2 linked regions of the Tamandua tetradactyla genome follow. The protein of the gene in region 2 purifies or fractionates together with the protein of the main gene of each other region. This does not show direct contact. Links are inferred from orthologs where the notes say so. Each region holds a gene or a part of one and is shown on either strand. Other genes may lie near its edges.

What was found. Proteins that work in one complex are often made in the same cells at the same time.
Region 1: the proteins of PPP4R2 (region 2) and DHX38 purify together in Homo sapiens (affinity purification with mass spectrometry; 3 studies listed by BioGRID and IntAct, counting the BioPlex papers as one, with this or other methods). This does not show direct contact. The link is inferred for Tamandua tetradactyla from reciprocal best matches to the Homo sapiens genes PPP4R2 and DHX38.

Annotation. Positions count from the first base shown.
Region 1 is NC_135342.1:66,664,343-66,671,850, forward strand, and holds the start of DHX38 (pre-mRNA-splicing factor ATP-dependent RNA helicase PRP16), read right to left. Parts: upstream 3,011-7,508; 5' UTR 2,696-3,010; intron 707-2,695; 5' UTR 688-706; coding exon 365-687; intron 2-364; coding exon 1-1. Other genes in the region: TXNL4B (thioredoxin-like protein 4B), read left to right, coding at 5,957-6,088, 7,468-7,508. UniProt on the Homo sapiens protein: Probable ATP-binding RNA helicase. Involved in pre-mRNA splicing as component of the spliceosome.
Region 2 is NC_135341.1:10,712,155-10,719,375, forward strand, and holds the start of PPP4R2 (serine/threonine-protein phosphatase 4 regulatory subunit 2), read right to left. Parts: upstream 3,019-7,221; 5' UTR 2,897-3,018; coding exon 2,863-2,896; intron 2,852-2,862; exon of another isoform or gene 2,519-2,851; intron 1,905-2,518; coding exon 1,823-1,904; intron 1-1,822. UniProt on the Homo sapiens protein: Regulatory subunit of serine/threonine-protein phosphatase 4 (PP4). May regulate the activity of PPP4C at centrosomal microtubule organizing centers.

The sequences.
Region 1 (7,508 bases), on a different chromosome or scaffold from region 2:
CCTGAAACAGGGAGGGTAACTGGTAAAGGGACATTCTACAGGAGAGAAATTTTGCCCCAAAAGAAATTCTTGGCTATGCCAAACAAGTGACCTGTCCTATTTCACTTCATCTTCCTGGTACAACAGGCTTATATACAGCAGCAACTCAAAATATTTCTAACCTCCATCCTCTACTCTTTAGTCACCTTTGAAAGGTCCCCAGAAATATGAAGAAAATACCAGTTCCTACCTAATCTCACATTACAAAATCATAATAAAATCTGAAAGTTTAAATGTCCAACAAGAAAACAGAGATACATACTGATTGTTATTTTCCAGTCTCCATTTTCATTCCCTCTAGGTTAACCCATCATAAAGCCTTTACCTGTCTTTTCGGCTACTTCGGCCAGCCTGGTCACTGCCCTCCTCCTCAGCATCCCTCTGTTCATCCTTGCTCTCTTCCCAGTCCTTGTAGGAAGAAATTCTAGACTTCTTCTTGTCCTCCCCATCATCCTTCTCCTCTCGCTCTCTCCGTTTCAGGGAGGCCAACAAGTCTAGTCCCAGCAATGAAGGGCGGGGAGCTGGGGCCTTGAAGACATGCTGTTCACTAGCCGCACTTTTAGTCTTGCAGATAAGACCTCCAACCTGAGAGTCCAGATCAGTCCCTTCCAGTCGATGGATCGTGGGATCCTCACTGGTATCCTCCATTACAGACTCTGGGGGTTGTCTGCAAGGAAGACATATTATTTGTTCTGAGAAATAAAAGGGGAAAAGGCTTGGTTCTTCCATATTGCAGAATAACTATAGGTAATATAGGTTATTTAGGGAGTTAACAATGACCACACCCCACTCCCAGACCAAGATTTCTTTAGCTACCTCTTGCCAAGATTTAGTCACTTAGTCCCACCCCAACACACACCAAAAATAGATACCCCAACGATAAACCAAGATCCAAGAGAGTATCAGACAGGCAAGAACAAACTTCATAAAGAGACTCTTACTAGAGCATAACGGTATCTTTAAAGGCAGTGAAGGAGAAATACCGCCAGATTTGAAATCAGAAAACCTAAATTAGAAGAGTCCATGCCCTTGACCCTTTCTACCTGCATGACTGTAAGCAAATAAATAACTTAATCTTTGATTATCCATAGTTTCTATATCTGTAAAACAGAAATAATTTTTGCTTTATCTAATGCGTGGAATTATTGTGAAGATCAAACAAGAAAGTATATGTAAGAGATCTCCATAATCATAAAGAGTTACATGAATGTAGTTGTTACATTATTTTATTTACCATACTCCTAGATATTAATTGGTTCCCTCACAAATTTTTTACACGTGTCTTCTGTGTTCTTCTAACCCTCCTTCCCTTTAAACTGCAGATAAAACAGAGTACAGATATTGGGGTATGAGGCTATCAACCATTTCATCAACGTTCTAGGACATTTTTTGGACCAGCTGTATTTTAGAGAAACAGATTACCACCTAACAGTCAAAACCTGTACAATAACAATACATGTTCACCAAAAACATTGATAAGAAACACTAAGTTAGGAAATGGGTTTCTGAAAAGTATTTTCTTTAAGTGATTGTGAGACTTTCTGTCCCTCAATAATAACAAATTTCTCTTTACCTCTCACTACACAGACCCACTTGTAAATGTACACCTGTTATGACTGCTTGAACAAGCCTGTCATTCCAACAAGTCAGTAAAACACTGGAACTGTGGAGGCACAGGGTGCTACCAGAACCCAAAATTTTTGCCAAGCTCTAACAAACAAGAACAGCCCTATAACACAACACTGCCAACACACTGGGCACATGATATGGAGTCAGACACAAGAGCTGCATTGTGAAAAATGCCATCAGAACAGAAAGGGGATCTACATATCTGTACACATGTGAGGAGATCCAAACAGGAAAGTAGAGCAATACAGGCTCAACTCAGCCACAGTCTGAACTAGGAAACATAACCATAGAATGTTAGTCTGCAAATGAGAGACTAGCATTTTGCCAGTGCCAAGCAAAATAAATGCTCATTCATTCATGAATGAATGAATTTAAACGTATCACAGGAGAACAGAAAGCCATATATTTCTAGAGACAGCAAGCAAGGTTACCAGCAGCAAAGACAAAGTGTCTGACAGCGAGGAATTAACTAGCTGCTGAGAACAAATAATCAAGGACCTAGATTTTGGAGCACCGACGGCAAAGAAGCCACAAAAGGTACAAGAAAAACAGTGACGAAACTGGATTTACTAATTCAACGTTTATTCATTGCGCCGATGAATATCACTGAGCTAGTGATTATTTGAGTCAATCACTGTTCTAGTCAATAGGGATAGAACAGAACAAAACAGGCAAAAAATCCCCTCCTTCTTGGAGCTGACATTTTAGCAGAGATCACCCACCAGATCGCCTGGGTAAGAGACCACTCTTTGGGAGAAGAGGGAACACAAGGAACCCTACTCGGCCTGGTACTCTGGGAGTAGGCTATGCGAAAGCCTAAGGAAGGGTGCAGGGCAACGACGGGCAGCATCCCAGGACTTCGGTGAGAGTGCAACATCGCTGAGGTGAGTAAAGCAAGTTGGGTGACAGTGGCGGAAAGAGAAACTTTCTAAGCTAGAGCCCGGACCTAGGCAAAGGACCGATATTCGCCACCTGGAGCCGCCGGTAACTGGCAAGGACAGGTCAGAAAGGAAGAAGGGACACTCACCGCACGAGCACAACTCTCAGGGCCCTTCTGTCGCAGATTCTGGGGCGCTGGCAACGCCACCCTTCCTCAGGCGACCTCAGAGAGCCAAAATCCGCACCTTGAACGCGGCCATCCTTGTCCCATGATACCTAGCGTGGACCCTCTAGGTGCCCGAAGATACCATAGAGAGCAGGCCGGAAAACGCCGGTTCCTGGATCCAAGACAGGAACCGAACACGTCCAGGGTCTCAAGGCTAAAGTGACCTCTCCTAGAGCGCTAATAAAAGCACTTCCGGGCCCACCTCGCGAGCCAATCACGCTTAGCCTAAGAGGCGAGACCCCGCCTCTAGGCTGAGGGTGTTGGGGCGGGGGTGGAGAGGGAAAGTCACATTTAGTAAGGGCGGAAGTGGCTCTAGGTTTCCGGTCACTCTGGGCAGTGACTAGAATAACCTCTCCTGCGTTTTGGGCCTTCCGGACCAGCTGCCGCGGGTTCGTCTGCAGTACCCGTGGGTTTTCTTTTTACGCTTCCTCCCCGCCAGGGTGGTCCCCAGTATTGGTAGGCATCAGTCCCTGAGGGTTTTCTTGTATTTGAGTCGCTGCCCGGCTTGGGGCCGAAAAAAGGGACGCCACCCGCATCTCGGCTCTTTCTAGAAAGGGTGGCGTTTGTGACAACCCTGAAGTGGAAGAGAGGAAGGTGACTTGTACAGGCAAAGTAGGTATGGCCATGGTCGTCCCTGGCAGGTGTCTTCTCCTATCAGGAGTAGCTCAACCATAGACGTTTAAAAAATAGTGTTTTGGATCTTTTTCTCCTGATACATGTTTATTGTGGAATATTTGGAAAATACAGAGGCACCCCCCGAAGTACATGAAAGTCACCCATCTGTCCACACGCAGAGATCACCACTGATGATGTATAGAGGTATTTATTTCCAGTTGTTTTTCCATGTATATAATGTAATAGTCTACGTTATATATAGTAGTTATATACTGTATACACATACTATATACATGTAGTTATATACATATATAACTTAACTACATTATAGTTAGGTTTTATATAAAATTGGGATCACGCTTTATAAACTGTTTTCTAACTTTTTTCTTTGGCAATATAGAGAATTTTTCAGTTTCTAAATGTTCATCTTTAACTATATTTAGCGGCTTTGTGATAGCACATTGCAGGACTGTATTATCATTTATCCTACCAATCCCCAATTGATGGCCATTTCCAGGTGTTCACCTTATAAATGCAATGAATATCCTTTGTACATAAATCTTTATGTCTGGTTATTTCCTAAGAATTAATTAATTTCTTAGGAAATGGAAAAAAGTACTTCAGCTTTCATTTCAGAAAGGTTTTGCCTTTCTACATTCCAGCAGGGATTATAAATGCCTGTCCCTGCACCCACAAAATGTTTCTCAAAAATGAATTTTTTTCCAAGAGTAAAAGTAGGAGAACTGCATAGAAATTTAGTGGCCTGGATCTAGTCTTTATTCTAGTAGCTAAACATGTAACTATAAGCAAACTAGTCTGAAAATTGAGAGGGATAGATTACGTCCTTTCACCTCAGTATTTTGTTTATTTAATGGTGGTTTTCACATACGCTCTTGATTGTTTGCCAGTTTCTATGTGCACCTATGTGCTGGTTTGAAATGATTTATGTACCCTAGAAAAGCCATGTTTTAATCCCAATCCCATTTTGTAAAAGCAGCCATTTCTTCTAATCCCTATTCAGTATTGTATGTTTGAAACTGTAATTAGAACATCTCCCTGGAGATATGACTTAGGGAGTCACATCTTGATGTGATCTTGATGTGATTTAATCAAGAGTGGTTGTTAAGATGGAATAGGTGGAGGGGTGTCTTCACCCATTTGGGTGGTAAGGTATTCACCAAGAATCTTTAAACCAGGAATAATGATAATACAAATGTCCATTAATCAAGGACTGAATTGAAAATTTTGGTACATACATTAAATAGTATGTGGTTGTGACAAAGAATGAGGGAGTTTTCTATGTAGAGATAGGGGAAGGTTTTTATAGGTAAGGTAAAAAATGCAAAGAGCCTAAGAGTGGGTGTGAAGGTTAGGTTTACATGTCAACTTGGCAAGATGATAGTGTGGGGCTGTTGGGTTAAGCAGGCACTGGCCTGATTAATGTGAGGACATTTCGTGGACTTAATTCATTACTAAGTTGATTGCATTTATGGCTGATTATATCTACAATCAACTGAGGAGACTGACTTCAACAAAGTGAGATATCTCATCCAATCAATTGAAGCCTTTAAAAGAAATAATGATTTCAGTAGTTAGAGAATTTACATCTTTCCTTCAGCCAGCCAGCTTCTCCAGGATAATTCATCAGAGTCTCCTTCTTCTGGGGAATTCATCAAACACATTTGTTGAAATTCCTAGCTTACAGCCTATTCTATGGAATTTGGGCTTATGCATTTCCATGGTCAATTGAACAAGTTTTATAAGAATTTCATAATATTTACAGATAGCTCCTGTCAGTTCTGTTTCGTTAGAGAACTCTGACTTGCATAATGAGTAGTGTGTGCACTAGCCATCCTCCATTTGTCCCTCTATATCCAGTCCTCCTTCTCTAGACTTCTCTGTGATCTGGGAGGCTGGCATGCCTCCCCAACTCTCCTGCCCTCTAGTTCCAGTTGGAGTCAGCCAATGGGAGCCCTAGCAGGACACTGTACAGAGGGAAGAGAGTGACTACATCTCCTTAATGCAAGCTGACATCCTATACAGTGGCCCTCTCCATTCAGTTCTCTTCACTACCTGGTATTGGTAATTATCCCTCCCATGGCCTCTGCAGGCCTAGGAGTAGGGAGAGTGCCCTGCTATTACTAGCCCCAGAGTACTGCACTGTATCTTGTTGTTTACTTAAACTCTCTTCAGATGATCAAATTTGGAGGTAGAAGCCATCTGTTTTCTTCTGGAACACTGACTCTAACAAATAGGCTAACTTTGGGGTAAAAAAAGGGAGAAAAATAGGAATACATATTTTTATTTTCTTACGAATGTATAACAAAACTCTGGAGGATACATGAGAAACTAATGCGAGTAGTTACGTGGTGTGAGGGGAAGAAACAGTTCAATGGAACTAGGCACAGGAGACCTTTCTATATTGTTTCATTTTAAACTATGTGAATATATTACCTACCAAAAAAACTAAACTAATTTTAGTTTCATGTACTTAATCTAAACTGTCTTTAAACACTGTGATTTAATTTCAGAATTAACAGTGAAGATTTGTATTTGGATTATTTCAAGATGAGCTTCTTATTGCCCAAGCTGACTAGCAAAAAAGAAGTAGACCAGGCAATAAAAAGTACTGCAGAGAAGGTATTGGTTCTCAGGTTTGGGAGAGATGAGGATCCTGTCTGCCTGCAACTAGACGATATTGTAAGTAAATTTTTTAAATAAATGGTTTTAATTAAAAATCCATGCATTCTCACTTCAGCATCTACAAAGTGCATGAATGGAGCAGGCAGGGCCCAGGGCTATGACTGTTCATTCACTAGCACACTTTCACAAAGAGTTGACCATGGGCTTGACCCTGAACTGAGGTGAACCCCCAAATCTGTGATCGTGCTGAATCTGTCCTGGCTGTCCTTTGCCATCAGCTGCTGTCAAAGTTTGGTTTTACTGGCCAGGCAGTGGAAGAACAGAAAACACTATTATCAAGCATCTATGAACATTATCTTATTCAGTCTCACAACAATGGAGTTATTTTAGCCCAATTTTCTGCATGGAAGAAACTACCACCAGGCAGGTCAAGTAGCTTCCCACAGGCACAAACCACTAAAGTGCAGAGCTGGGATTTGAACTTAGTTTTCTCTGGCTGCAGATAAGTTTTTGTAGTGTGCTGCCTCCAGTATGTGCCTGGTGAAGATCTCTGATTTCATGACACAGGCTCGTGCTCTGATGAGTAGGGAGGGAGAGTATGGGACACATTAGGTTTATTCTTGTCACCATTTATCATAGAGAGAGCCTTCATCCTGGACTAAGACTTCTTCCCACCATTTCTGTTGCTCTCATCAACAATGTGGCCTGAATATTAAAATCCTCATTACTTTGATTAAAAATAAGCATATGATATGTTAACCTGGTAACAACAGAGACCAACTGAGAGGAAGAGGGAATAGCATACAAGTCAGGGACACAGACTCTGAACACAGGGTGCCTGAGTTCAAATCCCAGGCCTACTGCATCCTGACTGTGTGACCTTGGGGGAGGTGTTTACCTCTTGTGCTTTACTGTCCTCGTCTACAAAATGGGGAGTATAATAGTGCATATCTCATAGGAATGCTGTAAGGATTAAATGAATTAACAAATGTAAAGTACTTAGAACAGTGAACCCAAAGTTGTGCCATGTAAATATTTGCTATTATTATAATTATCATTTCTGAGGGGATTAGAAGGAAAGAGATTTTGGAGACTTTAGTATCTGTTGTACATATTTCTGAGTTGTTTTGATTTTTTTCAAGTGAATACGGATTATTTTTATAAAAACAGTCAGAAATGGGAAAATAAATAAATGGAAGGAGGAGATATATTCATATAGTTTTACCCAGAGCCCTCTCATAACCTTGTCAGCAGTTATTCAGACTCTGAATGTAAGGCTACACTCTGTCTAGTGTAGCACAGTGTGTATCCCAAAAGGACTAGACTCTTTCCAGGAATTTTTTTCAAATAAAACTTCCTATTCTAGTAAAAAGCTTCAAAGAAGAAACATTAGCTATCTCACATATTGTAACCTACATCTCTGTCTGCATTCACAGCTTTCCAAGACCTCTCCTGACTTGAGTAAAATGGCAACTAT
Region 2 (7,221 bases):
AACTAGAGAGCTCAATTCACCCACAAATGGATAACAGAATCTCTAAATTCCACTATCAAAAAGCATGCCCGCATTAATAAAAAGAAATCAAAAGTTACAGCTAAATGTATAAACACTAGCTTCAATGGTAAAATAAAAAAAAATTCCATATTTTAAACTCTACTAAAAGTTAAGAATGCCAATCATTTTAATACAAAATGCTCTTAGCAAAGATACCAACACCTAATTTGGCCAATAGAAATAAACAAATAGTACAGAAAAATTAGGTCAAATTTCCCTTGCTACTTGGTCAGCCAGGAAGACAAGATATTAAAATGATCTTAAAAGCTTTCAACTCTTCAAACATTTGCAGCCAGTGTATTTTATCAGAAAGGGAAGGCAGTTTGTACAGAACTGATAAATACTAAAGATTCCTTCTCTTATTGTTTCTCTAAACAAATAATCTGACATAATCCTGTATACGTCTTTCTCTTGATATTGTGGAAAGGAATTAATTTGGACCAACAAGTAATACAAGAAGTACAGTGGAGATCCAAGCATCTATGTTTTAGCAACTGTATTTTTGGAAACTGATATCTAGTCATATTTAGGCTTATTTATGTAATTAAATACAAATTAGCTATTATGTAGAATTTTTTAAAAATCAAGGTATTCTATAAGAAACTATACTTTGGTGTAAAACTGCTATTTAATCTTTTTTCCTAAAGGGTCCATTTTAAAAATATAATACATAGAAATATATGATTGAACACATCACAGTCATATTCTTAAGCTGACTGCTGTATTTTAATAGAGCACTTAGGAGGGTAAGCTTATCTACATCATCATTAAATCAAGCATTAGGGTATAAGAGTCTTTTCTCCTTTCTAAAACTAGATTAATTATTAGAAGGCTAGACTTCAACCCTAAGCAAATCTTGTAAGAACTCTTGTAAGAAACTGGAATAAAACCAGAGAACTTAAATACATCACTTGCCGAAGCTTACACTTTTAGGCCTCAAAAAGAATTGTAAAAGTAGACAAGAAGTATGGGAGCCAAAAGAGAGCTCATTTATGAAAATTGTACCCAAAGAAACCTTTTCCCTTTACCGCTCCCCTCACCGACACCCAAAGAAAAGACTACCAAAAAAAAGTTATCAAGCACTGCCCTTTAAAATTTAACTTAGCCACAGTGTGAAAACAACTCCTGCCAAACACACACACAACAGTCAACAGGAATGTTCCTTTTGAAAACAGTCCTAAACTTTATAGTGTAAGTTTCAGATTCAGAACACTTGGAAACAAGCCTAATAAAATGGTGAGCATATGTAACAAGTTAGCTATCCTAGAAAGTTTACAGGACATTCAAAACTGTAGCATCTGGAATCTGTCAGATAATCACTCCGAGCCCCCAAGAGAATAGAAGTGACACTTCAAACACCCACCAATATAAATACAACAACAAACGGTTGGATACAAGACAATGAGAAAATAACACTAACAAAAGAATCTGAAATAGAATCAAAGCCACAAAATTCTGGTAATATCCCTGTTTGTTATAGCCAAAAACAGTTATAATGGAATAGGCATTTTTCCTTTCTCTAGCTCTTTCAGACTAATAAATTTTAAATGGGTTTAAATGTAAATATAAAAAAATCAATGAATTTTAAAAGTTCATCACAGAAAATGTGCTTAATAAAGTACATAGTTTTTTAAACTGGGAACTAACTGTAGGGTTAGACAGCTGAGTTACTTAATTCTTCCAAAACGTACTTTTTTCCCTTTGCTATACAATACTAAATGATACATAAGTCTATTATCATGAATGCATGTTTTCAACTCACATTGTTTCTCCAGTCTTGGCTACATGACAAAGAAACTGATCCAGGACAGGACAGACTTCCTTTTTCCCCCTCTTCTCAAAATCTAGAAAAGAAAACAAAAATAGTCATTATTTCTCAAAGCCTATCAACCATTCTCTCTAAAACAAACTTTCCTCCCAGATCTTGCCTGTCCTGGGTAATAAAAAAAAATCAGCGTCTCAACCAAATATTGACCTCCACCCTTGAAGTTTCACTTCAGTATGTCACTCTTCACTGGTAACAATGATCTCCTAAAGGGGGCACTCGACCTCTCCACAAACAGCCGCCTTACTGCAGTGTTTCTCAAAGTGTGGTCCAGCGGAACGCCAGAATCTGATTCACCTGGGAATCTGGATAGAATAGTAATTTCCAGACCCAGAACCCCACAAACTGTTTATGGAGGTGAGGTCCATAAACCTGGGTTTTTGCAAGCACCAGCCAACCCACGTTAACTCCCCCAAATAGTTCTGAATGTCAAAGCATAATTCTCAAAACGTTTAAATCACAATAGCCTAAGTTTGAGAACCTACTGTTCTCAAGCCTGTTGCTTGGAAGGCGACCCCCTTAGAACAAGGGCGCGTGGAAGGATGACTTCAGAAGCCCAGAAAGGCTTCCTAAGACAACTTAAAAGTTGCTCTGCCACCATCACCACCCCTAACCTTTTACTTTTTCTCTCACCCCCAACGCCTGGTGTGTGGGGATCTGACGGAATACGGAGCCTGTCTGGGAAGGGGCTGCCGGCCCACAGCCTGCCCCCGGGTAAGTGGGTACAGGGGCTAGGGCCCCTCCAAGGGCCTCCCCTGATCCCCTCCCCCAGCCCAGACGCCGACGGTCGACACAAAGCCAGAGTAGGGCGGGAGGGAGCTGCCCACAGGGCTCCCCGCCCCTGGGGAGGTGGAAGGGGGATGGGAACTGGGAAGCGCCCCCTCCCCCCAGCCCCGGTCCTCACAACAACCCTCTCTGGAGAGAGAAGAGAGGAACGCGAAAGGTGAGCAGGATGGGAGAGGGGCAGCTACCCCCACCTTTCAGCGCCTCCTGCAGCCTCTCGACGTCCATGGCTTCCCGGAGTCCCTCGCAGCCTCCGCCTCCTCCGCGGGTCTCACGGGGACCGGAATGCCTCCCCCCACCCCCCCGACGCCCTCCCCCTCCCTCGCACACACTCCGGCACGCAGGCGACCGGGGGGGGGCACCGAAGGGAGCCGGGGGAAGCGAGCTAGAGAGCGAGACCGAGAGAGCGAGCACCTCCCCGAGCCGCTACCACCAGCCCTCCAACATGGCGCCGGGCACGTCACCGCGCGCACGCTCCCTGCCGCCGTCCTCGCGCCCGCTGCGCGCCGCGGCCCAAGAGCCCAAGAGCGCGTGCGCGGCGGGGGCGTGCCGCCAGGGCCGACCCGGCGACCAGGACTGACGGCGGCTGTCCCAGCCTTAGGTCACGTAGTATTTCCCCGACGTGCCTATGCAGTGCTGGAGACCCGAAGGGTTAAGGGAGGGTTTGGAGGCAGTTTCCCTGGTTTTGAATCCGTGCCATTTGCTCGCTATATGACCTTGAGCAATTTACTTTGTCTCTCTGAGCCTCACTGATTTCCCCATCGGTACAATGAGGGCACTACCAAGCGAACTAGTAGAGAATTAGGCGTGGAGTTCAGAGTACACATAAAAACATTCAGTATTACTAAATACTGAACCCACCGTTCACCACTGACCCACCCATGAAGAGAAGCAATTCATATAGCAAGATGATTAAGAGCTCAAGGGTTGGAATCAGCTGGAATCAAATCCCAACTTCACTCACGACTACCTGTGTGACCCAGGAGTAGCTACTCAAACTCACGGAATCTCAGTTTCCTCATCTATAAAATGGGATTGAATAAAATGGTGAATCTGAAGCATTTAGCACAGTGTCTGGCACTTGGTAAGCGCTTGGTTAAGGTGGCTGCTGGTTTTACTATCATTACAATTATGATCACATTACAAAAGGCCCCCGGAAGTTAAAAAGGGAGGGGACCTCAAAAGTCTTCTCTAGCACTAACATTTTACAAATAAGAAAGAGCAAGTCCAGCAAGACAGCAGCCGACAACATCTGGCTCCCAGCCAGTGTGTGGATATTTTTATATTCTTCTCTTGTTTCTGAGCTTTTAAAGGAGAAGGTACTGAACTGCTCCACCTTCACTTCTTAAAGCCTATCAAACTGACATGAAAGGAAGGAAGGAGAAGGGTGGAGGGAGGTTGGAGAAAACTTGCTTCTTGACTTGTGTTAGAAGACAGATTTGGATGCAGCCATTACAACTATTGACCCTCTTAAAAACTAGGGCTCTGACCCTAATTCTAGGTGGCAGATGTAGGTAAAATCCCCCAAAATACCTCTCTCAAAACTTGCAATCAGAAGATCAGATCCCTGTGTCTTTATACCTTTTTATATTGGAAAGTATTCAGCTCAATTACAAATAATCTTGCAGGGAGAGGTAATAGAATATCATCATCAAATATTTGGCAAGCATTTACCATGGTTTAGCATGGCTTATCATGGTACCTTCTATTCTCAAGGGGCCCATTCTCCCTACTTGGCAAAGTTTAGCCTCCACTTGTCTCTGACACTCTGTCCTCTGTTTAGACAGGTGTCTTTCTGTAAGAGCCATATTGTACAATACAAATTTCCACTAGTCTCATGTTGGTATTTAAATATGATTAAAGTTAAATACAATTAAAAATTCAGTTCCTCCGTCGCACTAAGCCATATTTCAAGAGCTCAGTAACCACATGTGGCTTCAGGATACAGAAAATTCCCTTATCATTCTTTTGGAGAGCACTGTGTAAGAGGACCACACCATGCTAATTTCTTCTTCCTTGTTTCGTCCCTTTTCCTCAGCTGTTCCCATCACTTGGGGATACCGCTGTCTTCCAAACACTGGATACCGGCTGTGATAGGAGACACCTCACAGTGACAACCTAAGGGAAACTGGGAAAGTTTCCCAGAGGAAGTCATATTTAAGCTAAGACCTGAATTAGTGAGAGGAAGGTCACCAAGTGAAGTGGAAAGAAGGAACTTTCAAACAGAAAAACTGCAGGTATGAAGCCCTTGAAATGGAAGAAAAGAGTTAGGTAGGTTCTAAAGAGCCATAAGAAATTGAATCTGACTTAAGCTGAAAGTGGAAAGGGAGAAGAGGCAAGAGATGAAGAGTTATTTCCTTTATTCATTTCTTCCTTCTTCCTTGGAATTCCTCCCTAGCCAGCAAGTATCCCACAATCGATAATTGCTAACCCTGCTTGCACTAATTCTCTTGGAGGAAAACTGAATATGAATGTGGCACAGACCCCAATGATCCTCACCTCTGAGCTTCATGCCCTTTTGTAGCTCCTTCGACACTGAAACAGAGCTAGTCTGGGTGACCAAAGAGCACGGTGGAGGTAACGGGGTGTAACTTCTGAGGTTGGGTCATAAAGGGCACTGTGGCTTTTCTGCCTTGGTTCTTGGATAAATCGCTCTGGGAGAGCCTTGTCATGAGAACATTAGAGCAGCCCCATGCAAAGGCCCACATGATGAAGAGCTGAAGTCTGGGAATTGGATCCTTCAGTCCCAGGAAAACCTTTGGAAGACTGCGGGTCTCAGCTCACACCTTAACTACAGCCTCACAAAAGACTGCAAGTCAGAATTACCCATCTAAGCCCATCCTCAATTCCTCATCCTCACAAAATATGAAAGATAAAAAATGCTTATTGTTGTTTTAAGCCAATAAATTCCAGAATAATTTTTACCCAGCAATAGATAACTAATAACATAATAAAAATTTGGATAGTAATGGCTAATATTTATTAAAAGTGCTTCTCATGTGCCTGGCACTCCTCTAAGCACTTTACAAAAATATCTAATTTAATCTTCACAACAGTCTATGAGGTAGATGATATTAATATCCCCACTGAACAGAAGAGAAAAATGAGGTATAGAGAGAGGTGAAATGACTTTTCCCAAGTCACACGAGTTTGCTGGCAAGTGACCAAGTAAGGATTCAAATCTATACTGACTCCATTGTCCTCAAGATATTTGCAAAATATCAGGAGAGATAAGACTTAACCACAGACCCTGGTGCAAGGTAGAAGACGAGTATGCAAATCAGGTATTCACAGTCCTGTGAAATCTCTTCCAGGCAGGAATGAAAGTTGCTTTAAGATGGGCCTTGTCTAAAGATTGGAAAATATTTGCACCTATAGAGAAGGACCTTCCAGGTAGAGAGAATGGCATTAACAAGGCAAACAGTCCACGAGGACCTCCCAGGTGCTGGGGAGAAGAGAGTGTGTAGTCTTTCTTTCCTCTACAGAGCTCATACTCTAACAGAGGAGAGGACCTTAAACACACATGAACATGTAGGAAGAGTGCTGGCAAGGCAAAGGCCCATTGCTCTAGGTGTGTACAAGAGGGAAAAGGCCTGAACTTGGAGAATATACAGAGTACGAGATAGGCGATTGAGACAGAAAGAGAAGCGGGACAGTGAAAACATTAAAATATTTATATGAGAGGATCTTCTTATAACCCTGGAGCGAATCACTGGAGTTTGGCTGTCCCTTTGAGATGGGTCTGTGGAAAGAGACAAGAGCTGGAAATTGAGTAAACACCAACATCCAGTCTATATAAGCTGGAGAAAAGAGAACAGGGCTGGGCTAAAATATCACTATATAAAGCTTTGGAGCTTCTTTCATTCTCAGGGCCTTTTATTCATGCCTTTGAGTCATTAGTTGCATATTAGAATGTGTACTTGGTGTGATTGCTGCTGGTCATCTTGTTGGGTTTAAGAGCAGTGTCAAAGGAGGAGACTGGTAAAGAGTGGTGCTGCCTAGGTGGAATGTGTTAAGTTTGATTACAATGATAGAAGTTGCTTCATGTTGCATGAGAGAAATGGGATTTTATTAGAAGAGTAGAGTTTTCCATAGGATCTCAGCAAATCAAAGAGCCATTCTCTTCTTCAGTTCTATACATCTCTCTCACTCTCTCATCCTCTCCCTCTGTCTTTCTCTCTCTCACTCTTTCATTCAGTGTTCACTGCTGATGTATAGAAGTCCTCATATGAAATGACTTCTTAAGACAACTGTCCACCATCTTGCAATCACAATCAGAATATCTGATTGGCCTAGCTTGGGCCAGGTGTCCATTCAAACATGGCTGGGCCCCAGGATCTCCCAGCGTAAACCATGCTGCTGTGCTCATGGATGTGGAGGCAGTGAGGCCAGGCAGCGGAGATTTCCCAAAGCAGAGTGGGGAGGGAGGACCAGAGCCCCCCAAACTAACCAGACTCGCAGAGGAGGCAATATAGTGCCATGTGGAGCCCAAGCAAATGAGCAGTCTGAGGGAAAGAAGGCATCATTTAGAAACAAGTGAGAGCACACTTCCC